Arabidopsis thaliana: one gene and its partners. The protein of the gene in region 1 interacts with the protein of each later gene in a biochemical or structural test. Each region holds a gene or a part of one and is shown on either strand. Other genes may lie near its edges.

Region 1 (8,446 bases):
GTGCTAAACGCACATAAAAATGTTTGATTGCAAATGCATACTTTTAGGTATCTAAGAATGTTTGATTGCAAATGCATACTTTTGGGTATCTTTCCATAGTTACCAGTTTTTTACTACCAATGTTTTCATTCACCAAAAGTGAAAGTAGCGGTTCATTTAATATTCCAACAAGAACAAAAATCTTTTAGTCATATCATATATATAACCAATTTCCTTCGAAAATAGCTCGTTTGAGTTTTGATTAATATCAATTGATAAAAAAAACAAAATCTCTTTTAATATAATGAATAGATACATACTTATTTATTATATTTATATATTTTATTCTAAAATAGTATTTATATAATTTTAAAATCGGAAAAATATTAAAATAAGCTATTCGTCAAAATCTGCCAAAATTCGCCGTAACCTTTAACACTTTAAGTTCACACTTTTCAATTACTTAAATCCATATGAGTCATGGTTTTGTCATACATGAAATCCAGACTAATTTAGGAATTTTTAACGATCATGTACCAACCATTGACAGTGTTAATAACTATTCCCTAACTATAATATTTTTCATTACCAATCATGATCGTATTTCGAATCATTGTTAAATTTCAAAATCAGATTACATTCATTATTTAACATCTTCTAAATAGTGACAGCTCATAAACCAATATCCACCCACACACACACACACAAATTCTGCTTCTCACCATCTTAAGTAGATTTGCCGAATCAAGTCTCTAAACAAAAACAGTCTTCGATTTCTTCACCTCTCTCTCTCTCTTAGACAAGCCATGAAAGGACAGAACAAAAGCTCAACATCTTCTTGTAACATCCATCCAGTAGATGTTATTGAAGGTGTGTGTCCTCTCTGTCTTAACGAGAGGCTTTTGGTCGTGGCTTCTCTACAGAGATTACGCCCTCCATGTCCTCCTTCTTCCTACCAAACCATCCCGAAAACCATCCTTCAAAATTCTTCTAGAAAGAAACCCATCAGACTCTTCTCCTTCTTTAGCTTCTTCGAACTCCGACATCACAAGTCCGATCACCAGAACACCTCCATTATCAGTCCAGAAGGTACCATATGTACTAAACTCTTTTATTTAATTTAGAGAGTATATATATAGTAAATAGCCACAAATATTTATATATCCACTCTCATTTTCTGAATTTATTAAGTTTTAATCGACTAATTTAACGTTTTTCTATTAACTAGTAAACATTAACATTGACCAAATTTTGGGCCAAATTTGTTAAGTCAATAATTAGAACTGCGCACACGTTAATTACAAATAGTTGAAGAATAAAATGATCATTTTTCCCTTCTCTAAATAAATAATATATTTTTTGTTTATTAAATAAATAATATTTTAATTTAACTTTTCAAATATTTTCACTTTATAATTTTGTTTACCTATTTGCGGATTCTTAGGTTAAGAAAAAATATTAAATCTAACTAAAAGAGTAAATATTTCAATAATAATTACCAAATTTAAAACGTCCATAAAGATCAACGGTACAAGGTGGCTCTATTAATTTATTTTATATATCTATAGATTCATTCATTTCGATCAACTTCGAAGACAACCGAGCAACTTCATGGGAGAAAGGAAAAGAAACGCAATATCAACATGTCCACACGAAGAAGGAGTTTGTTCCTCAGTCCACACCACTTCCTCCTCTACTGTCGTGGAGAAAACGGATTCGTAGACTCTTACACGTCATCAGTTTCAAAAGCCGGTCTAGAGCATGTCACTTGTCCGCCAAGGTTAAAAGTGAAGATGACTTGAGTAGAAGTTGGTGAAGGCCTTTGTCCCCCACTTAACAGAAACTCTAAGATTAATAACTTCTCAAAATTTACAATAATTTTTTTGTTATAGGTATTCTTCTTGTTCTTTTTCTCTTACATAATTTATACTTAATTATTTGCAACTCTAAGATGAAATCAATATTCGATTCACAACGAAAAAACATTAACCAAACAACAACCTATGTCGTTATTCATTGCAAAACCGATCTACAGAAAGATTAACAATGATCAACGATTAATCATAAGTTATAACTTAATCAATCATTGCCGCTTTTCAAAATGTCAAAAAAAAATTGTATTAAAACAGACAAAAGAAAACTAAAAGAAAGAAACTAAAAGCTTTTCTAAAAGGACATGTAATACATTTGTTTATGGGATTAAAAGGCCCAAGTAATAGAAAAAAAACAATTTTTTTTATCAAGCCTTCTTAATTAATTTTTGAAAAAGCAAAAGTTTATTTAGAAGGCGCATGTAAGAGAACCTCGTTTGCTTAGAGATAGCCGTTGAAATGGCTTGAAAACTCCTCCGTCGCACCACACAAGCGAATCAAGAGAAAGACTTGTCTTATTGGACATTATTTGGAGAGAAAGATTTAAATCTTGGAGACCAAGTACTTTGGTGTATGAAAGTATGTCTATGAAGTCAAGTCCGTGAACTCGAAAGAAAAATTATCTAGATCTTGATATATTGGGATCAATTACGAATAAAGCACTTTCAAGTGTATGTCGTTGTCGAAATAGGCACAAAATCGTGTGTTGATCAAATTTAAGCGCTTTTCCACATGAGCTATTCTATTCTATAATGGAGTATTTGATATGGTAACAGTCGATTTTTGTTGATCAAATTTAAGCGCTTTTCCAGTAGAAATCTTGTAATCTCATCTTCAAAAGAGATCATGGAGAAAATCACCGGAGGAGAAGACATTGAAGACGGCGAAGGAGATGATAATGACGTGGGGTTAGAAGTTTAAACATATTTATTTTTGTTAGAAAGAGCTTTCTATTTTTTGAGTTACGTTTCACATTTTGGGTTTTAAGTTTTTTTTTTCTTTATATAAAATTTTATTTTAAGATTTGATTTGGTTTGATGAAGGAATGATTTTGGAGATTCTTTTGAAAACATGTTTAAGGGTTGGGTACAGGTAAACATAAATTTTAGATGTTTTTGGCTTCTTTTTTATTGGGAAGTTTGATTATGAATTTTACCATTATGAGGAGTATTTGGAACGCTCATGATTTTTAGATCAATTGTTTCGTAAGTTCGATTTTTGGACTGTCCGAAATAGGACAGAGTTGCTGGATTTGCATGGGATACTTTTCTTTTCGTCAACATCGAAGACGTCCTCTAGAATAGAAATTAATATTTACTCTTGCAGTGTATGCTTTAGATCCCGGCTCAATTCATTATGAGACCTATGGCAAAACTCAAAATAAAATAAAATCTCTTAGTAAATGTTTTTTTTTGGAAAAATTGGGGCCTTTTAGTCTTAACAATTTTTTTGAAATTGATTAGTAACCTTGGGCATTTGCCTACCTTGCCACCCCCAGAGACGGCCTGTACGAGCCAGGTACACCAGACGAATGGAGAAAATCACTCTAGGGGAGACGCTACCTTCACTTTTGCAAACTATCTTGTGAAGGTACGCGCGGCCATAAACACTTGCCATTATGTTCTGATTTTTGGGGAACCACTAGAGCAAAAACAACGGCTCCTTCATGATTTACCAAATTAATTTTATAATCTAGATTTTGGAATCAAATAAGTTCCTAACATGTACTTTAACATATTAGTTTTAAATTCTGTTTGATTTATCAAAAAAAAAAACTATGATGAAGCTGTTCTAATTCCACAGTTTTTTTCTGTTAAGAGATGCTAGATGATATCAATCACCTAGTCACTTAGGTGTAATAAAACTATATATAATCAGAAAATTCCAAGTTAAAAACAAAAGGATATAAGTATTACAACAATTTAAGCTGTCCATTTCCTTTTGTCTCAACATGAAGAGAAGGTCACACACTCTCTACTAAATTTAAGTACATGATAATTTAGCTTTCTTCACCATCATCGGTGATGAATTTTCCATTACCAGGATTAATGGCAGCGAAGAAGAAGAAAGCAACGTTTAAGAGGACAAGTGGTTCGATATCTTGAATTGGTATACCGGTCTCAATGTTGAGTTGAGCTAATGCTCCTTTCCCGGTAATAATCTCTCCTATCAGTGAAAATGCTATTCCCAACTGTGCCAATCTTCCTACGAATAACTCGTTCGCCTTCGTGAACCCAAACAATGGACCTTCACACAACAAAACAACAAACATATTCAAATTTATTCAAAACATTAGACCAAGCAACTCTTTAAGTAATCTCATATTTGTATCTTTTTTTCTTTTCAGAAACACTATTTTATTTAAGTTAACGGGAAGAGACTCTCTGCTAGAGAAAGCCATTCAGGAACCAATGTGCTTACATGGGGGAAAAAGATAGAAATTGATAACGATAAATAATCTATCAGGCCAACGATAAATAAATAAACATTTAGAGATTATTTTTGGAGATTGACAGTTCCATGCTAGTATCTTTTGTCTCACATTTGTATCTTAGGATAACGATAAATAAACATAAAGCCGATCCGGACACTACACTTAGGCCAATTCAGTTATACTAGTTACTATAGTACTCTATCAGGTTATATTATTTGCATTGGTTGTTCAGAGCAATGTCATTGTAACAAAGATAGAAATAGAAATGTTGAGAGATACCTTGTTCTTTGAGACCGAGGGCAGATCGGACGTTTTTGCCGGGAGGAATGACGGCTTTCTCGAGCCCGGTGGGAGGATCGTCGACGAATTTTCCTCTGTCTCCGAGAGCTCCAATGGCTCCCAACAGAGTGAACAAGATGAAGAAGAGAAGCAATGGCTCTGCTTCGTAAATCGGTATCCCTGTCTCCAGATTCAGCTGAGCTAATATCCCTTTTCCCGTCAACGCCTCACCAAGCAACGATGCCTATGCATAGAAACACAGCTTTCATACTAAAGCTTCTTTCTTGGAAGATAAGTTAGTGTATTTCATAGAGGGGACTTACAGCGAAACCGATCATAGCAACACGACCAACGAATAGCTCATTCGCCTTTGTGAAACCAATCCCACCAGACGTTCCAAAGATGCCATCCTCAACCTTGCTCTTCGGCTTCTCAACCTAAAATGTATATGAAAATCTTAACATTACCATCAAACACACAAGAAATGTTCCTTGTGGGACAAGTAAAGAGTATGTGAAAACCTTTTTAGGAGCAGCTTTGGTTTTGGGTTTGAAGAGAGCGAGAGGAACGAATGATTGTCTCCTAGATGGTAGTGCAACCGGAGAGTTTCCAGAGAGGAAGAGATGGTGAACTTTGGGCTGAGCCAAAGGGCTCTTGTTCCTCAAAAAATGGCCGGCGGTGACGCCTGAAGTAAGCAGCATGGTTTGAGCCATTCTTTCTGAGGATGAGAGAAGGATCAGTGATGTGTTTTGTGTTGTGTTGTGGAAGTGAAGAGATTAAAAGATATAAGGGAAATCTATTGATGGGCTTAAAGTGCGTCCACGTCTCCCAATTGTCCTTTCCATACTCTCTATGTGGTGAACTGGAGATAACGTTTTTGTGGAGAAAAATAAATCTATCAATATAATAGTTTTTAAAAAATTTAGATACACTTTTTAAAAGTTATACTTATTTAGACAGTAAACAAAAAAACAAAATAAATGTCATATTCAAAGAACCATTTATGACGAACTAATAACTCCTTCTAATAAAAATATAAAATATTTCTTTCAAGAAAATCATATTTTGGAACTAAAATCCAATTTATGTATTGATGTAAATGAATTGTGTCTGGTCAAAACTAAAGAAACATACTCATAGAAGATTCACGTCAAAAGGGTATGTTATACTAGCAAAGTACATACTAATGGAACTGGTACATTAGATATTACAAAAACGAAATGGCTTAATTTTTTTTATAATATGTATATAAATAAGAACACCTATATTGAAAAAATTCACATCAATTACATATTTTGTAAAAAATATTATATTTGAAAAATATCTAATTCTTTTTTAATATAGCCAGAGCCGGGCACAAACACAAGCGGGCTAAACCCAAACTTACGGTCGCAAATAGTATAAAAACAATTTTGGCTTCATATTTTCGTATTTGTTAGGTAGTCTAGTGGTAAAGACTGGTCCGAAAGAATCTTCGACACTTAGGTTCAAATCTTTAGTTTTTTCGGTTTTGTTAAGGGCTGATTGGTTCTCCCTCTACCACCCATAAACGCAGCGTTTGCGGTTGGTAGCGGTTATTAGCGATTGGAACCAATCATAGAAACCGCTAGATATCGCTTTGGACCGCTCAAAATTGCCAATTTTCAAAAGCTCCTTCCCGCAAGCGTTTGCGGTTGCGGGCGGTAGCGGTTAGATTAAAAATAAAAAAATAATCTATTTTTAGTTAATTAAAATAATTGTGGTTTCCACCCAAACCCTAATCACTATAATTAAAATAATCTAATCTTTTATATATCTTATTTTTATTAGAAAACCCTAATCAATATATTGTAACTCTATTCTCTCAATTATGGCATCCGATGAAAATCAAAATCAAGAATCAAACATAAGTATCATCTATCATTTTATTCACTCATTAGCTAGTGTAATTCTTTGACTATTTCATGGCATCATTGTTTTTATTTTATTTTGTATTCTTTTGAGTTTTTTGATTGAATACATGTTTCGATTTGTTTTCTCGATTAGAAAATGTTTTAGTCGGACGAGATGATATATTGTATTTTTATTTGGTCAGAAAATCAATTTTTCTAATATATTATATTTTTATTTCTTTTAATAGTAATATATTATATTTATTTTGGTTATTTTTTATTTAATTACTATCGCACCGGCTGGTTTATCAGTCATAAAACTCCCGCAAACGCACCTATTATCAAACGCTCAACCAGTCGTTCAAAATGCTTGATAACGCTTAAAACCGTGATCGCCCGTTTCCGCAAACTCCCGTAACCGCAACCGCACCCGCTTATAACCTTAAAATAGTTAGGGACGGTAAAAACTTGAATCGAGTAAAAAACATTTGAAACTACAAATACTCGCACAACACTCAGAAAGGAATAATTTTTGGTGTTTAATTAGTTTTCTCGATGAGAGACGTGTTTGAACTTTGGACACGAACACCTCATCTCACATCATGACAAGCGGGTTTAGGCATATTTGTTTTCTTTCTATGAGTCTCATTAAAGTTATAATTTAAACACAAAACATTGTCTTCTACTAAAAAGTTCATTATTTTGTAATTTAAATTGTATCAATTGAACAATCATCATATATATTCAAAATGGACATATAATATTTAAATATCATAAACTTTCATTTTAATTTTAATTATATGTACATACATTAAACCCCTATTTTGAAAACAATTTCACATCAATCACACCTTCTTCTTTTTTTGGGCAACTCACATCAATATACCTTTTAAAAAAAAATATTACATAAAATCCCTAATAGTTTGAGAAAACCTGATTGACTCGATTCGAGTCAAAAATATGTGCGACTTATAAATTGCTCGCAACACTCCGAAAGAGTATATTTGTAGTAACAAGTAAGTGGTGTTTAATTAATTGTCTCCATGTAAGACGTGTTTGAACACGAACTGCTCATTTCACGTTATTACAAAACAAGTGGGCTTAGGCATATACTTTGGGAACAAACCTAATAAGTAAAATAACAATAATGTGACATGTATTTTTGGATGTTTTTACATTTTATTTAATCAATTAGAAAATAGTATTTTTCTCTTTAACATGTTATAGTTTTATGTTGGCGTGTATCTGTTAATGAACTTTCAGATTAATGATTTTCGAGTATAGATTTTATTAATTTCGCTAGGACGCTATGTGATAATTTATACATTATCATAGCAAATAGCCAAATAACATGGTACACATAACATAATATGTCACAAAGAAATACAGTTAACTTACTAGGAAACACATATATTTCTATCTACTGCCGTTTCATTTATCAGAAACGTGGGGACGGAGACATCGGGTAAACATCCTCAAGATATTTCAAAATCTAGAGAACAACTAGCTGTTGATCGAGGACAGACTGGTCCGGCATTTCACCAATTTTTATGATGCATTTGTATTGGGTTTCAAATTTTTGAATCGCATTTTGTTAAGATTTTTGTAAAAAACAATAGACCCCAAAATAAGGGAAAAACCGACGCATAGATCAAATCTTTAAGTTCAAGTTCGATTCTAATCCATAAGGCTCTATAACTTAGCGTTTGCATAGTTATAACACAATATTCATTTGTGAGTTAGGTTCAAGCAATTATACGAAATTATGCTAAGTATAAAATACCTAAGATCATGTATTAGGTGGTGTGCGAGACATACATGCATTAAGATCAAACTCAACTAGAAAGAATAGTATAAACGATCAAACAAAATCATAGAAACTGCCAACCTAAACCAGATTTAACATCCCCATGAATCCCTTTTGAAACTCCCTCAAACCCAACTAGTGATCTACTAGCTCATGGCAAAAGAGCGAATTAAAAGTTGGGTTGAGTAAACCATAAGAAAAAGAA
Region 2 (6,720 bases), 6.4 Mb from region 1:
GTTATGTTCTATAAGATTGTGCAATTGTAGAAACAGCCTCTTCATTTGAGCGAACCCAAGAACATTCCATTTGAATTTTAGTTAATACGAGACTAGTATGAGAGAAAATTGAGTTTGATTAATGACAAATCATACAAAGTCTTGCAAATTTACATCTGAAAGTCTCAAACCATCACATACAACCTTCTCTTTCTCCTCATGTCTCTCACTCGAATTCAAAAGACTGAAAGAAAAGCAAAATACAAACTGATAAAACTTGGCTCACTTTCCGGGAACAAAGTTGGTTGCGAAGGCCCATGCGTTGTTGTTGACTGGATCGGCCAAATGGTCAGCAAGGTTCTCTATCGGTCCCTTACCAGTGACAATGGCTTGAACGAAGAATCCAAACATAGAGAACATAGCCAATCTTCCGTTCTTGAGCTCCTTCACCTTCAACTCCGCGAAAGCCTCTGGGTCGGTAGCAAGACCCAATGGGTCGAAGCTGCCACCGGGGTAAAGCAAGTCCTCGGCCTCTCCCAACGGCCCATTTCCTGCGACTCTGTAGCCTTCAACAGCTCCCATCAAGATAACTTGAGTGGCCCAAATGGCCAAAATGCTCTGAGCGTGGACCAAGCTAGGGTTTCCCAAGTAATCGAGTCCTCCATCGCTAAAGATCTGTGAACCGGCCTTGAACCAAACCGCCTCTCCGAACTTGACTCCGTTCCTAGCCAAAAGCTCAGGGAAGACGCAGCCTAGGGCTCCGAGCATAGCCCACCTGCTGTGGATAACTTCTAGCTCACGGTTCCTTGCGAATGTCTCGGGATCAGCTGAAAGTCCAGCGGTGTCCCATCCGTAGTCTCCGGGGAACTCTCCGGTAAGGTAGCTCGGTGACTCGCCAGAGAATGGACCCAAGTACTTGACTCGGTCGGATCCGTACCATGGGCTGCCTGATGGACCCTTTGGCTTGGCAACAGTCTTCCTCATTGTCACACGGCCGCTTCCGAGGACTTCAGATGCCGCGGGGGAAAGGTTCACAGCCTTTCCGGCGAAGGCAGGGGAGGAGAGAGCCATTGTGGAGGCGGCCATTGAAACTTTTTGTGTTTTTTTTTTTTTTTGGTGACTAACTTGTGAGTGAGAGTGATTGAAAATGGTTAGGTAGGGTTGGATTATATAGGAAAATTGCGAGTAACGTTTGTTATCTATGAAGTAATCTATATCTCTTTACTCATTGGATTTTTGAGATTTTGGTTTTAACGTTTACTATTCTTATGTGGCAGTCTCTAGTCCACTAGCTTTTGCTATGATTTTTTCATTGCAGCCAAAGCATTTCGAGACCACATGTTGCAAGTCTTTTGGAAGCAGCTTAATAGTTCTGAATAGAGATAACTTATTTGTGTGATCTTTCCTTTAAATAAAAGTAAAGATAGTGTGATATTGATGACCGAAACATCATAGAGAGTAACATTAGAAGTCCAACATCACTACCAATTTACAATAACATTGATTCCATTGTCAGTTTATCCACTAACCTGATAAATCTCATGAATAATGTAATTAATTTAACCTTGAAACTCAGTTGTTTTTGCTTTTAAATCAAAATGCAAAGACTCAAAAACACTGATTATTTGCATATTTTGCAGAAACATAAAAACTATCCAATTGATTGTTCAAACACTGAAAAACTATCATCTGGTATGTTCAACATCATTGGTTTAGACAATATGTAGCTTGTAAATTTTTAATCATGATTCTAGTAATCTGTTTTGTAAACTTGAACAACCTTTTAAAATCTAAAGTAACTCATTCTATCTTTCTAATTCATCATAAAATTCAAAATTTGTAGAGATGAAAAACCACAACAGAAAACATTTTGTTAGAGGTTTAATTTGCAACAAACTATTCCTCAATCACTTTGATAGAAACTCTTTAAGCTATCATTCGTAGTTTACTGATTTTTTCATCACCCTAAATAATTTCGACAGTAAAAGTTTTTTACAAAACACAATTTTATTTTTACAATCACTAATTGCCCTCACACATGAATTCACCCACTCTTTGGAACGCAATTTCTAAGCTTTGGGGTGAAAATGAATAAACCTAGCTATATTCATGTTCTCCTGTTCTATTCTCTTGTTCTTTCGATACCACACACCAATGACACAGGCGCTAGCTCTTCTATGCTCCAAACATATATGTTATCATGTGTTCACCAATTATAGCTAGTGTGACAAGCGAACCTGGTCCACAGAGGATGTCACGGAAGGCAATCTCTCGCACGACAATGGATTTTAACTAATATGTAAGATATATGATCAGTCCATTCAATGCGTGGATGTGATTTTAATATGGTATCAGAGCAATGTGATATATTGTTATCCAGATATCGTATGAGCCAATGTTACGAGCTTCAGAATCAACCAAACACGGAAGAAACTACTTCATTATCTATTCTCTAATTCTCTCAATCAGAAGAAAAAAAACGATTGCAATTTCTTCTTCAATGCGATCATATTTTGTGAAGAGACGATATACAAGTTAAATCAAGGGAATATAAAAAACTTATATAAAAGACTCTTTCGTGTTGTTCAAGCTAACATCCGAGAATCACATTTTCTCTTGATTTGAAAAGAACATAATCTTTGTACCCATTGCCTTAATATGTTCAATCACGTTGCTCGATTGTAGAAATAGCCTCTACAACGGAGTGAACCCAAGAACTGAAAATCCAATTCAATTATAGTTCTACGAAACATATTTAGAGAACAATGAGTTATTTGATTAATGACAAATCATACAAAGTCTTTGCAAATTTACATCTGAAAGTCTCTACCATCCACCACAAACACAAACCTACTCTTTCTCCTCCTGTCTCTCACTCGAATTCAAAAGATTGAAAGAAAAGTAAATTACAAACAGATAGAACTTGGCTCACTTTCCGGGAACAAAGTTGGTGGCAAAGGCCCAAGCGTTGTTGTTGACTGGATCGGCCAAATGGTCAGCAAGGTTCTCTATCGGTCCCTTACCAGTGACGATGGCTTGAACGAAGAATCCAAACATAGAGAACATAGCCAATCTTCCGTTCTTGAGCTCCTTTACCTTCAACTCAGCGAAGGCCTCTGGGTCGGTAGCCAAACCCAATGGGTCGAAACTGCCACCGGGGTAAAGCAAGTCCTCGGCCTCTCCCAATGGCCCATTTCCTGCGACTCTGTAACCTTCAACGGCTCCCATCAAAATAACTTGTGTGGCCCAAATGGCCAAAATGCTCTGAGCGTGAACCAAGCTAGGGTTTCCCAAGTAATCGAGCCCTCCATCGCTGAAGATCTGTGAACCAGCCTTGAACCAAACTGCCTCTCCAAACTTGACTCCGTTCCTGGCCAAAAGCTCAGGGAAGACGCAGCCTAGGGCTCCGAGCATGGCCCACCTGCTGTGGATAACTTCTAGCTCACGGTTCCTTGCGAATGTCTCGGGGTCAGCGGATAGACCAGCTGTGTCCCATCCGTAGTCTCCAGGGAACTCTCCGGTAAGGTAGCTGGGTGACTCGCCAGAGAATGGACCCAAGTACTTGACTCGGTCGGATCCGTACCATGGGCTGCCTGATGGACCCTTTGGCTTGGCAACAGTCTTCCTCATTGTCACACGGCCGCTTCCAAGGACTTCTGATGCCGCAGGGGAAAGGTTCACAGCCTTTCCGGCGAAAGCAGGGGAGGAGAGAGCCATTGTTGAGGCGGCCATTGAAACTTTTTTGTGTTTTTTTTTTTTTTATGACTAACTTGTGAGTGAGAGTGATTAAAACTGGTTCGATAGTGTTGGATTATATAGGGATATTGTAACGTTTGTTATATCTGAAGTAATCTTTATCTGTTCATTCATTGGATTTTAAGATTTTTGTTTTATCGTTTAGTAGTCTTACGTGGCAATCTCTAGTCCACCAGCATTTGTTTTGATTTTTTCATTGCAGCCAAGCGTTTTGTGACCACAAGTTATGAGCCACTGAATACTTCAACGGTTACACTTACTTACACCCTCGTGACAAGAATGATTTTTGCTACAACCCAATAACTAAAACTTAAAGTATAACATTTTGAAAATATAGATTCTGATGATCGAAACATTAATATAAAGTAACATTATAAAAAGCATTTACCCACACATAAATATCAATATTTTCAATGGTAATTAGTTCATCATCACTACCAGTTTAATTTCAATTATGAATCGATTTCATCGTCACTTTATCCAATAACCAAAATAATCTCATGAATTATGTGATATCACCTTAAAACTTTGACGTTTTACTCTTTATCGAAGAAACACAACGATTAATGAAACACTGTTTTAACTTATCGACCATTTCTAAGAACATGAAAGAACTATATTAATTCATATGGCATGTTCATCATCATGGGTTTAGACTTTAGAGAACATATAGCTACTTTTTTTCTTATCATGATTCAAGTTATCTTTATTGTAAACTTCAACAACCTTTTGAACAAACTTATTTATTCGCTTTTTCCGAATTCATCAACAAATTACTCCTCAATCACACTCCTATAGAAAACGGTTTAAGCTATCATTACATGTCTAGTTGGTTTTACTCAGCCCTAGAAGTGTTGTTTATTGCATCACTTTCCACGAAGCACAATTTTTCTTTTTTACAATCACTAGACCTCACAGGCTCACACATATGCTTTAGAGCACATTCTAAACTTTGAACTATAAAAGCTGTTAACACTAATACACTATGCGTTCTTTTTTGCTCCAAACACTTTTGATCCATTATTAGGAGACACTCCACTTAGAAAGATTTTCTAATCCTTTGGTCAACTAGGAAGTTCAAGGTTTTTCTAAACAGAAATTCATTTCACAAGTAATTTAATTTATAAGGAAATGAATAGAGAAATCAAATCATTGAAGAACTACAAAATATAGATTCAAGGTCAGGTCTAAGAAAATATTCCTGAAGCTCAAAAAAGAGTTTTCCTCTCACATTATAGAATTGGCCTTTACTTCAACATTTTCCCACCTATTCCACATTTGGTCAGAACATTTTTAATTACTTGTGGATCAATTTCCGGTTGAAATGGGTTTGGTGAATATCCGGTTCAGTTATATGGTGGCCGTTGGAATTGGCTTATTAGTTGTGGCCGTTGTTGAAGCCGTTGGTATTGGTAAGGGAGAAGCAGACTTGTGGCTATGAGTCTATGACCATGACTCGTGATTATGGAGCTGTCTTATGACCCTGACCATCACCTTGATCTGGTGGATTCCAATGTTTTCTTCTTCTTCTAATAAAATATTATGGTCAATACAGGTGCTAATTAAGATGGTAATAATTTCTTATGTTTCTGTGGTAAAGTTTGATTCAATTCCGTAGTTTTAGATAATCTTATTTCCATACATAAATTTTATAGTTTTATCTACTTTGTTCTTATGTTTTATCTCTAGCCAAGAGTTATTATTATTATCAGAAGAAGAAAAAAAAAAGAAGCATATATACAAAAGGTTTAATAAAATGTATTATACAAGGCAATTATCCAAATTTTTTTTGTTTTGGTTTACATTGATGCTCTCAGGATTTCATAAGGATAGAGAGATCTATTCGTATACGTGTCACGTCATGAGTGGGTGTTTCGCCAATCCATGAAACGCACCTAGATATCTAAAACACATATCAATTGCGAATCTGCGAAGTGCGAGCCATTAACCACGTAAGCAAACAAACAATCTAAACCCCAAAAAAAATCTATGACTAGCCAATAGCAACCTCAGAGATTGATATTTCAAGATAAGACAGTATTTAGATTTCTGTATTATATATAGCGAAAATCGCATCAATACCAAACCACCCATTTCTTGGCTTACAACAACAAATCTTAAACGTTTTACTTTGTGCTGCACTACTCAACCTCAATGGCCGCCTCAACAATGGCTCTCTCCTCCCCTGCCTTCGCCGGTAAGGCCGTCAAGCTTTCCCCCGCGGCATCTGAAGTCCTTGGAAGCGGCCGTGTGACAATGAGGAAGACTGTTGCCAAGCCAAAGGGCCCATCAGGCAGCCCATGGTACGGATCTGACCGTGTCAAGTACTTGGGTCCATTCTCTGGCGAATCACCGAGCTACCTTACCGGAGAGTTCCCCGGAGACTACGGATGGGACACCGCCGGACTTTCAGCTGACCCCGAGACATTCGCAAGGAACCGTGAACTAGAAGTTATCCACAGCAGGTGGGCCATGCTCGGAGCCCTAGGCTGCGTCTTCCCTGAGCTTTTGGCTAGAAACGGAGTCAAGTTCGGAGAGGCGGTTTGGTTCAAGGCCGGTTCACAGATCTTCAGCGATGGAGGGCTCGATTACTTGGGAAACCCTAGCTTGGTTCACGCTCAGAGCATTTTGGCCATTTGGGCCACACAAGTTATTTTGATGGGAGCCGTTGAAGGCTACAGAGTCGCAGGAAATGGGCCATTGGGAGAGGCCGAGGACTTGCTTTACCCCGGTGGCAGCTTCGACCCATTGGGTTTGGCTACCGACCCAGAGGCATTCGCTGAGTTGAAGGTGAAGGAGCTCAAGAACGGAAGATTGGCTATGTTCTCTATGTTTGGATTCTTCGTTCAAGCCATCGTCACTGGTAAGGGACCGATAGAGAACCTTGCTGACCATTTGGCCGATCCAGTTAACAACAACGCATGGGCCTTCGCCACCAACTTTGTTCCCGGAAAGTGAGCCAAGTTTTATCTGTATTTTGCTTCA
Region 3 (8,546 bases), on another chromosome or scaffold:
CAGTGAAATTGCCTTTGTTCACATTAGGGCTCAAATAATTCATCCATCTCAGTCTACAACTTTTCCCACATCTCTTTAGCCCTATCAACGAATCAAATTTAGTCTAACTGAGATATATTTATATATGAACTAGCTAGAGACTAAAGTTAATATATATAATCACAAAACGCGCGAGAGAGAGAAAGAGTACCAGTTTTTCTGACGATGCGGTTCCATTGGCCAGTGCCATGATTAAGAACATAGTCCATAAGGATGTTGTCTTCTTCAACTGTCCATAAACCTTTCTTGTATTCTTGATTCTCTTTTTCATCTCTTCTCCTTATTCTCATTCTTTTTTTATTCTCTGATTCCTTCTATGTTTGTGTGTGTCTGTGTGTGTGTGTGAGAGAGAGAAAGAGATTATGAGTAGTGAACTTATGATGGGTTTTCGTGACACGTGCTTATATATACACTCACATCAATACGTATCTTTGTGTAATCATGGCTATAAGCATAAATATGTACCTAATAATGTATAGATAGCGACTATAGCGTTATCCTTTGTTACCCTACGTTACGTATTAAAAGCTAAAATTTGGCAGTTGGTTTAATTGTATCTATGGCCAAAAAATTTATAAAAAAATTGTTTTTTCTCCTCTGGCAATATCTAAATACTATACTTGCGACATGAAATTTACAAAAACAAATCTACTAAATATGGGGCAGATTACTGCGAAATGTTCTATATTGTATGATTTAACTGATTTGTAATTTATTTGACACGTTAACCAGTTTGTTTATGCACTGTATACACTTACATTCTACTAATATTTGATAATGATCTTTTTCATTGGAACTACATATTATTTTTAGTTATTTATACAACAAAGTGGGATCGGAACAACCTATTTAAAAGTACCACAGAGTTCACCCTAAAACAGTTTTTTTGCAGAAGATAAAACATGAAAAAAGAAACTTTGATGGATCAATGAAATGGTTCTCCTTTCCATATGTCTTGTTTCTCAAATTATAGTCAACTTTTCGACATACTTTTTAAAAGTTCATGAGGTTACCCTCTTTAATTGAGTTTTAAAAATAGACCACAAAATTTATGTGTTCATTTACATATCATATCGATTTAATTTCTTAAATCTAATCAGATAGTTTAGCCTGTATACTGATTAGTTAGTCAAAATGAGAATTTTCAAGTCACAAGTTCGAACATTATAGTAGATAAGAGACCAAATTAATCTCCTCTAATTTTCGGGGTAGAAAAATTATGGACCTAAATTATATATATGTGTGTGCATACTGTTAATATACAAAGACATATATATATATATATATATATTTTGATGAAAGGTTTAATTTATTTACTCAAGAAAGCGTCTACGTACAAAGTATGAGTATATGTTGAATACCATATAACCTAGTTCCAACTAACAAGTTAAGTGGTAGAGAATAAAATAGTGAAACTGAATATGTAAGGAATATGTCTCACAACTATTTAACTAAATAATTGGAGGAATAGAAGCTCTGCTCTTCACTTGTCTCCCTACTTACCAGTTACCACCTTCCTACTCTCTTCTACTTTGGTTTTCGAGCTAGCTTATACATATACCCTTATAAATATGCATACTATTTACTTGCACAAAAACAGAAAAATATAGTTTCCACTAGCTAAATAGTATTTCGGTTATAAAAAAACTACTTTAATTTTTGACTAACTCGAGAAAGTACAAACAATTATTTCTAAGAAATGTAAATTATGTATATGAAGTAGCTACTATCATTATTCTTTTTACTTATAAGTACTGTAGTTTTTTACTCAATGTTTTTGTTATTAGGTTTTTTAGTATTAAGTTGTTAATATTGGGGCTACATAAAGCCAAACAAACATATATGATTGGCATAGTCAAGTTCTCAACAAGCTATCCTCTAACGAAGCATTTGGGTAACGACATGTCGTCGTATATATATCTAGATACACGTACATATTAAATTAGAAATTTACTCCAAAAGCAGAGGATTCTCGTAATCATTACCAAGTCGGCTCGAAAGTAGTTTATATACATTACTATGAATACATTTCCAAATGAAGATGCCCGTGATTTATGACCCCACAAATTCAAAGACAAAGACAAAAAAAATATATACCCTATTAAACCGGTTTGGTTTAGATACAGTCCCAACCATAGAAGATACAATCTTACTACATATACTTTACGTTGCAAATTTATAAATACCAACCCATGTCAGTGTCTTGTTGGTGTTGCTTAAAAAGAATGACACAAATATTAAATTCCACGTAGGGACCTTCGCTGATCATTACATATTCGGTTCGTTTTCACTTATCACGTGGGTAATATTTGATGTTATGAAAGTGTTCAAAAACTACGTAAATTATAGTTTTTGCACCCAAAAAATAAAATACAAATGGTTGAGTTTGTATACAGGGAAACATGCAGACATAACCTCAAACTTTTTTTTTTTTTGCAAAGCTACCTTTCACCTGCAACACAACCATCCAAGTCATAACTTAGCTCGAGTAAATGATCTCTCAACGAGAGCATGCGTTCACAACTTAATAAAAAAACTCAATAATTTATCAAAACTACAGTACGTTGTTTTAAATATTTTAAAAAACTAACATAATGTGAAATAGGGACCGTAAAATGACTTAACAATTGAACAAATAACCTAAACCGTGTAAGACTATATTATAAAGATTCGAACACATGACATGAACTCAAGACATAACCATATAATACACGTACATCTTTTGATAAATCATGAAGAATAATATCAAAAAGAAATTCTTGGTAATGAGTCGAAAATCAAACCATTAAATTTTCAAACTCGAATGTTTGTAGATGTAAAATTTTAGGAAGTTTCATGTATAAAAAGTAACCATGTTCGGAACTGAATAAAAGCTATAAAAGGACTTTGTTAACTTCGGAATCCGTAAGTTCAGAATTGTCTCGACTAAAATAAAGGTCCAAAATCAGTACTAATGTACTATGTAATATGTATCATTGCTAAGCCGCACAATCATGAAATTTTATTTTGGTACTACAAAGCCGCAAAATCAGTACTATGCATCATTGCAAAATCAGTACTATGCATCCGAGAGAGTGTTGAAAAAAAAATTTGGTACTACAAAGCCGCAAAATCAGTACTATGCATCATTGCTAAGATGAGGTAACTGTCCATTAAGCCGACGAAATTCGGTTTTCATTTTTCTCATTTTGATTTTTTCTAGGTGTCAGACTCGTCACTCCCAATGTCTGAACCGAAATTAAAAACCAATCCAAACCATAAGACCGTTTGAAGACATTGCAATTTTGGTTATTTCCGGTTACCTTTCGCATGTATGCAAATATAAACAGATTTTATGTACACAATTGGACGATCTATTTTCCGAACAATTGATATACAAAAATATAACCCACCGGACTTTTTTTCTACACGTTATGTATATTTACTTCTTTCAACGACGTTTCTAAGACTCGTCCGGCTTTGGTTCGAGAGTTACAGAGATTTTCTCCTTGTGATCGCCTCTTAGAACCTCTACGGTCACCTAATCAACATCATCAGTGTCAAAACTATCTCGGATGCAGAAACTAATTGACAAAAACTGCGGAGTTTACCTCATCGCCGACTTTGCATTGATCGAGAATCCGGTACAGATCACTCCCGTTAGAGACTTTTGTACCGTTCACCGACGTGATTATGTCTCCTAGTACTAGTCTCCCGTAACCATCACGTTTTGTTGACTGAAGTCCCTGTGGAACAAAACCAATTTTACACATTTCAATATTAAAACCGCGGAGTGAAACATAGAGAAAATATCTGTTATATGGAAACTTGGAAACAGGAAGAGCTTACGGCTTTGCCGGCTGGACCACTTGGAGGAGCATCCAAGACGAGCACACCGCTCACTCCCAATTGCTCAACAGATTGGTCCGGTGCGAATTTGATACCTAAGATTGGTCTGGTGACTTTACCAAATCTCACCAGCTGATCAACGATACCACCAACCTGAACATGAGAGAAACAGAGCTCGAAACAACTTTAGTCTCCCGTTAGTGGATTCAATGATAGAGAAAGACTCTATCTGATCAGATTTGCAATGGGTAAAAAAGAAGAGAGAACTCACTGTATCAACTGGGATCGAAAAGCCCACTCCAGAAGATGCACCAGAAGGAGAATAAATGGCTGTGTTTATACCAATTAACGTTCCTGAGCTATCTAGAAGAGGTCCTCCGCTGTTACCAGGGTTAATGGCTGCATCTGTCTGTATCACATCTTGAATTGGACGACCAGTTGCAGCAGAACTAATTTCTCTTCGCAAACCACTGTACAAATCATAATGCACAAACATGCTACAGTTTTAATAAGAGAAAAGGAATAGTATAGCCATTTGGCATGAAGAGGGGCAAGAGAAAATATATGTATCCAGTATCCTCAAGTACCAATCATCTTTTTTGACACTTTCATTTGTGAGTTCGTTATGAGAAGAACACATCTGATTAGAGTAGAATGCAACTTAAAAAAAAGAGAAGACAAATATAATTTAACATACCTTATAACACCAGTTGTGAGAGTATGATCAAGTCCAAACTGCACAAAAAAGTTCTTGCTTTAGTGCGTATGAACAAGAAACATAAGTATTGACCTAGCTAGCAATAGAAAACACAAAGCAGAGCTTTAATCTATGATCACTTTAAGGATGTATACTCACTGGATTGCCAATGGCAAAGACTTTCTGGCCAACAAGCAGATCAGCAGAGACTCCAACAGGTATAGGTCTTAATTTGTTTTTCGGTGCATCAATACGTAATACTGCAACATCCTTATCTTGGTCAAATCCAACAACTTTTGCATCAAATGTTGTTTGATCAGCAAGAGTGACCCTGTTATATACATCATCCAACTTCCTTATCATACACAAACATCAAAAGAAACCATCCAAAGAAACAATGTACTCATTATAAAACTAAGAATACAACAATTACTAATTCCAATTTCTATCAAAAATCAATCAGATTCTCAAAGTTTCAACATAACTAACCTGAGATCAGAAGCACCACGAATAACATGGTAATTGGTAACAATATGACCTTGCTTATCCCACACAAATCCTGAACCAGAGCCTTGAGGTACCTCAAGAACGTCCAATGTAAACGCGTCCTGCCTAATTCAAACAACATTAGACCAATCCTCAAATCACGGAGAGAAGAAATTCAAAACGAAATTCACCAGAGAGAAATCAAATTCAGATACCTCACGGCGAGATTAGTGATGTAAACAACGGAAGGAGTGTTCTCTTGAAACAAACGAACCGTCGCGAGCTCATCAGTTTGAAGTTTCTTCGGAGTACTAACTACAAACGCCGAGGCAGATTCAACGGCGGGAGAAGCGGCGAAGAGTGAAAACGATAACGCGACGGAGGTACAGAGGAGGAAGAAAGGTTTAACGGCGGAGAACGGAGTAAAATGAAGAGTATCATCATCGTCGTCTCTGTTGTTGTCGTTTAGTGAAAGCTTCGAGAGGATTCGGAAATAGCGTTTGGATCGGATTGGGTAAAGAGAAATTGGAGAGGATCGTGAAGAAGAGAGATTGAAGAAGGAGAGGTGAGAAGAAGGAGGAGAGTGAAGGAAGAGAGTGGAAGAAAGGAGAAGCGAACAACTCGTCGTCGTCGCCATTTAGTTTCTTCTTCTTCTTCTGGTCATGGGACAATGGGATTGTGGTCTCTGTTTTATTTCATTTTTTTTTGTAATTAAAAATATTAATTTTTGAAAATAATGGTTTTTCTATGCGAAGCTATGGTTTTGTATACGTAACCGAATCGAACCGAAATTGAATTGAAATTTGTTTAGTAAACCACTATTTTATGATCTTATGAATCTGGAATAAACAAAACCGGGTCTTTTTTTTGTTACCGAATCAAATTGAATCGAAAACTTTTTGTACTTTGAAAATAAATTTAAACAGTAACCTTTATTATGGTAAATATTATAAAGAATGTTGTTACTTATATCCATAACCCGTAGTACACCAATAATCGATTTTTTAAAATTTTTAAATTTAAGTTGTATTTCTTTATATTATTTGTTTTGTTTTTGTTTGATATTTGTTCACCCGTAATATATCATCCCATATAAATATCGTTCCAAACCGAATGAAAAGTCCAAAAACAAATCAGGATTTCGCTTCATTTAAGAACTTCGAAAAATCAAAAGCCCAAAAAGACCAAACTTAAGAGTTTAAACCAGATAATCCACTCCTAATTTTGAACACTAAACACTTGTACTCCATAAGAGTAAAAATGGTTATTCCTAAGTAATTCTTCTTTCGTCGAACTTATTAAATACTTGACTTGGTTGATATCTAAATCTACTAGATAAAAGTGCAAAAAGATTAATGGTGTAGTTTAGAGAATCTTCTGGGACGGTCTAAGTTCTTTTGGCAGCTCACTAAAATTCTCTGCGTCCACATCGGCTTGATACATTGGTCTCTTCCCCATTTTCCACACAATCCCTTCAGCTAAATGTTCTTTGTTCGGTGTCAGCATTACAAAGTTTGGATCAGCTCTTTGGTAACTGCAATTTCACAAAATAAAACAATGTGAAGAAGATCATGAAGCTAAAGAGGGTTGATTTAATTTTAAACTTGTCACAAATGGACTGACCTGGCTTCTCTTAAGTTATCAACACGTAGACCGAACCCACATTGGACATTTCCAGTCCTATGATTAGTTGTTGCTGCATAAAAAATGAGTCCAAACATGTTCAAATACCAAGAACCTATGTTCATCTTGATTTCGCTGCATTCAGGTTATTTATCAACGCATACCTGAAATATTGAATGCGAAAGACGGTTTCCACCACGACTTGAATGCTAATGACAATGTTGAGCTATGAGCTCCGACTTTACCCTGCAAAAGTTGAAAATGTTACATACTGAGCAAAATTTGAGATAAATGGTTTCTTTTTGAGTAACTCGATAAGGTAAATATTTTTTTATACCTTCAGCAAAAAGTTCTTGTTGGCCTGCCAAGACGCAGCCACCTGCAATAAAGAATCTGGGGCATTGGGTGGCGTCTTGGAATCATCAACCCTTCAATATTAAGACGAAATATAAAGTTCTGTTTCTGTATAGACAAACAGTAGCTACAATGTTTTTTTTTTTTTTACTTAGAGATGTTCACTACCTCGATTGTAGCTCAAAACCAAAATCAATGTAGTTTGTGATTCCAACTACTTGGTTTTCTTCGAAAGGATTTTGCACCTGTTCCAAGTCCATTAAATCGATTTCATATTGAGCCAAAGATGTGCTAAACTTTATATATGGAAGACTAGTATAAGATGCAGCACAGAAAAAGGACTTGTTTGAAAGAGTTGTACCCGTCTTTGGACCACTACGTGTTGGTAGAACGAAGCAATAAACTGCATTTACAAGAAAGATAACATAATCAGCAAGACTAAAAATGCTACAAAATGGATGATATGCCATTAGATAAATAATGTGGTCGTTTGTCAAGTTCCATGAGATACTGAAAAATTGTTTGGGGTTAAGACTTGTGCATACAGACAGCAAAACAACATGTTTTCATCTACACGGATTTTAAAAGAATCACCTGAGAGCTTCTTGCTAGTTCAATGCCAATGTTAAAAGAAGGAGTCAAGGGGCTTTGTGACCCTACTCCATAGCCAGCAGCACAACTCCAGTTTCTTGGGTCTGTGTACTTTGCCAAATCTTTGCTTCCATCTAAAACAAAATCCAATAACAATTGTTGATGCTCACTTTCTTTCAATCACATAATTTATAGATACTAGTTTCCACATGTGATGCGTAAAATCTGTTCAACAGAAATAAAACAATGTAAACTAACTCACGTAGCGGCTCATATTGTACTCCTACTGTAAGACTTCCCATCTTGCTTACAAGCCATGCATGCTTTGGCAATTCGTTATTCGCTGAATTGAAGAATCAAAGGGTCAGCATTGTGTCCAAAAGAAAACAACGTGAATTCACAGAGCAACTTTATGCGCTTACCACTAAAAGGAGTGACAGTAGCTCCGACAGACAAATTCGTTGAGCCATATCTCAACCCCATGATTCTATATTCTTCAGATGATTTTCCACTACAGAGACAACATATATTCACCCTCACAATATTACATCTAATCTAAATATAACAACAGGGTACACACCTAGATACGACTTACGTAATTTTTGAAATCAAAGGGTAGACCGCAAATGCCCCGATTCCATATTTAGGATAGTAAGCAGAAGACCTCATTAGAAGAACCCTTAATGATGATGACAAACAAAACAAACAATTTCAAAACATTAAACTACTGTAATGAACATAACCTCCAAGAATATATCAAAAGTAGCACAAAGTTTACGGATTCGAGGTTGACACAGAGAGATCAACAAAAGTATGAGGATCATCAACATCACTGCATATTTATCAAAAACAAACTAATCAGTATTCCAATTCTCCAACAACTACTTGTAATCTTTCAGATTAAAAACTAAAGAATCTATACCTTTGC

What was found.
Region 2: the proteins of NPQ4 (region 1) and CAB2 form a complex in vitro, tested with the Arabidopsis thaliana proteins (one study listed by BioGRID).
Region 3: the proteins of NPQ4 (region 1) and DEG1 form a complex in vitro, tested with the Arabidopsis thaliana proteins (one study listed by BioGRID).

Annotation. Positions count from the first base shown.
Region 1 is NC_003070.9:16,868,598-16,877,043, reverse strand, and holds NPQ4 (Chlorophyll A-B binding family protein), read right to left. Parts: upstream 6,824-8,446; 5' UTR 6,770-6,823; intron 5,534-6,769; exon of another isoform or gene 5,426-5,533; 5' UTR 5,277-5,425; coding exon 5,085-5,276; intron 5,001-5,084; coding exon 4,887-5,000; intron 4,808-4,886; coding exon 4,564-4,807; coding exon of another isoform or gene 4,496-4,563; exon of another isoform or gene 4,098-4,495; coding exon 3,850-4,097; 3' UTR 3,620-3,849; downstream 1-3,619. Other genes in the region: AT1G44608 (uncharacterized protein), read left to right, coding at 786-1,068, 1,548-1,795. UniProt on the Arabidopsis thaliana protein: Plays an important role in non-photochemical quenching (NPQ), a process maintains the balance between dissipation and utilization of light energy to minimize generation of oxidizing molecules, thereby protecting the plant against photo-oxidative damage; acts upstream of DLDG1.
Region 2 is NC_003070.9:10,472,182-10,478,901, forward strand, and holds CAB2 (chlorophyll A/B-binding protein 2), read right to left. Parts: upstream 3,789-6,720; 5' UTR 3,712-3,788; coding exon 2,908-3,711; 3' UTR 2,475-2,907; downstream 1-2,474. Other genes in the region: CAB3 (chlorophyll A/B binding protein 3), read right to left, coding at 262-1,065; CAB1 (chlorophyll A/B binding protein 1), read left to right, coding at 5,890-6,693.
Region 3 is NC_003074.8:10,363,178-10,371,723, forward strand, and holds DEG1 (DegP protease 1), read right to left. Parts: upstream 5,768-8,546; 5' UTR 5,688-5,767; coding exon 5,266-5,687; intron 5,177-5,265; coding exon 5,054-5,176; intron 4,896-5,053; coding exon 4,724-4,895; intron 4,603-4,723; coding exon 4,565-4,602; intron 4,338-4,564; coding exon 4,139-4,337; intron 4,021-4,138; coding exon 3,868-4,020; intron 3,765-3,867; coding exon 3,630-3,764; intron 3,560-3,629; coding exon 3,482-3,559; 3' UTR 3,432-3,481; exon of another isoform or gene 3,172-3,431; intron 2,492-3,171; 3' UTR 2,475-2,491; downstream 1-2,474. Other genes in the region: MYB0 (myb domain protein 0), read right to left, coding at 1-81, 191-329; AT3G27930 (beta-galactosidase), read right to left, coding at 6,416-6,584, 6,674-6,746, 6,838-6,919, 7,011-7,101, 7,196-7,272, 7,389-7,430, 7,622-7,752, 7,881-7,961 and 4 more. UniProt on the Arabidopsis thaliana protein: Serine protease that is required at high temperature. May be involved in the degradation of damaged proteins. In vivo, can degrade beta-casein.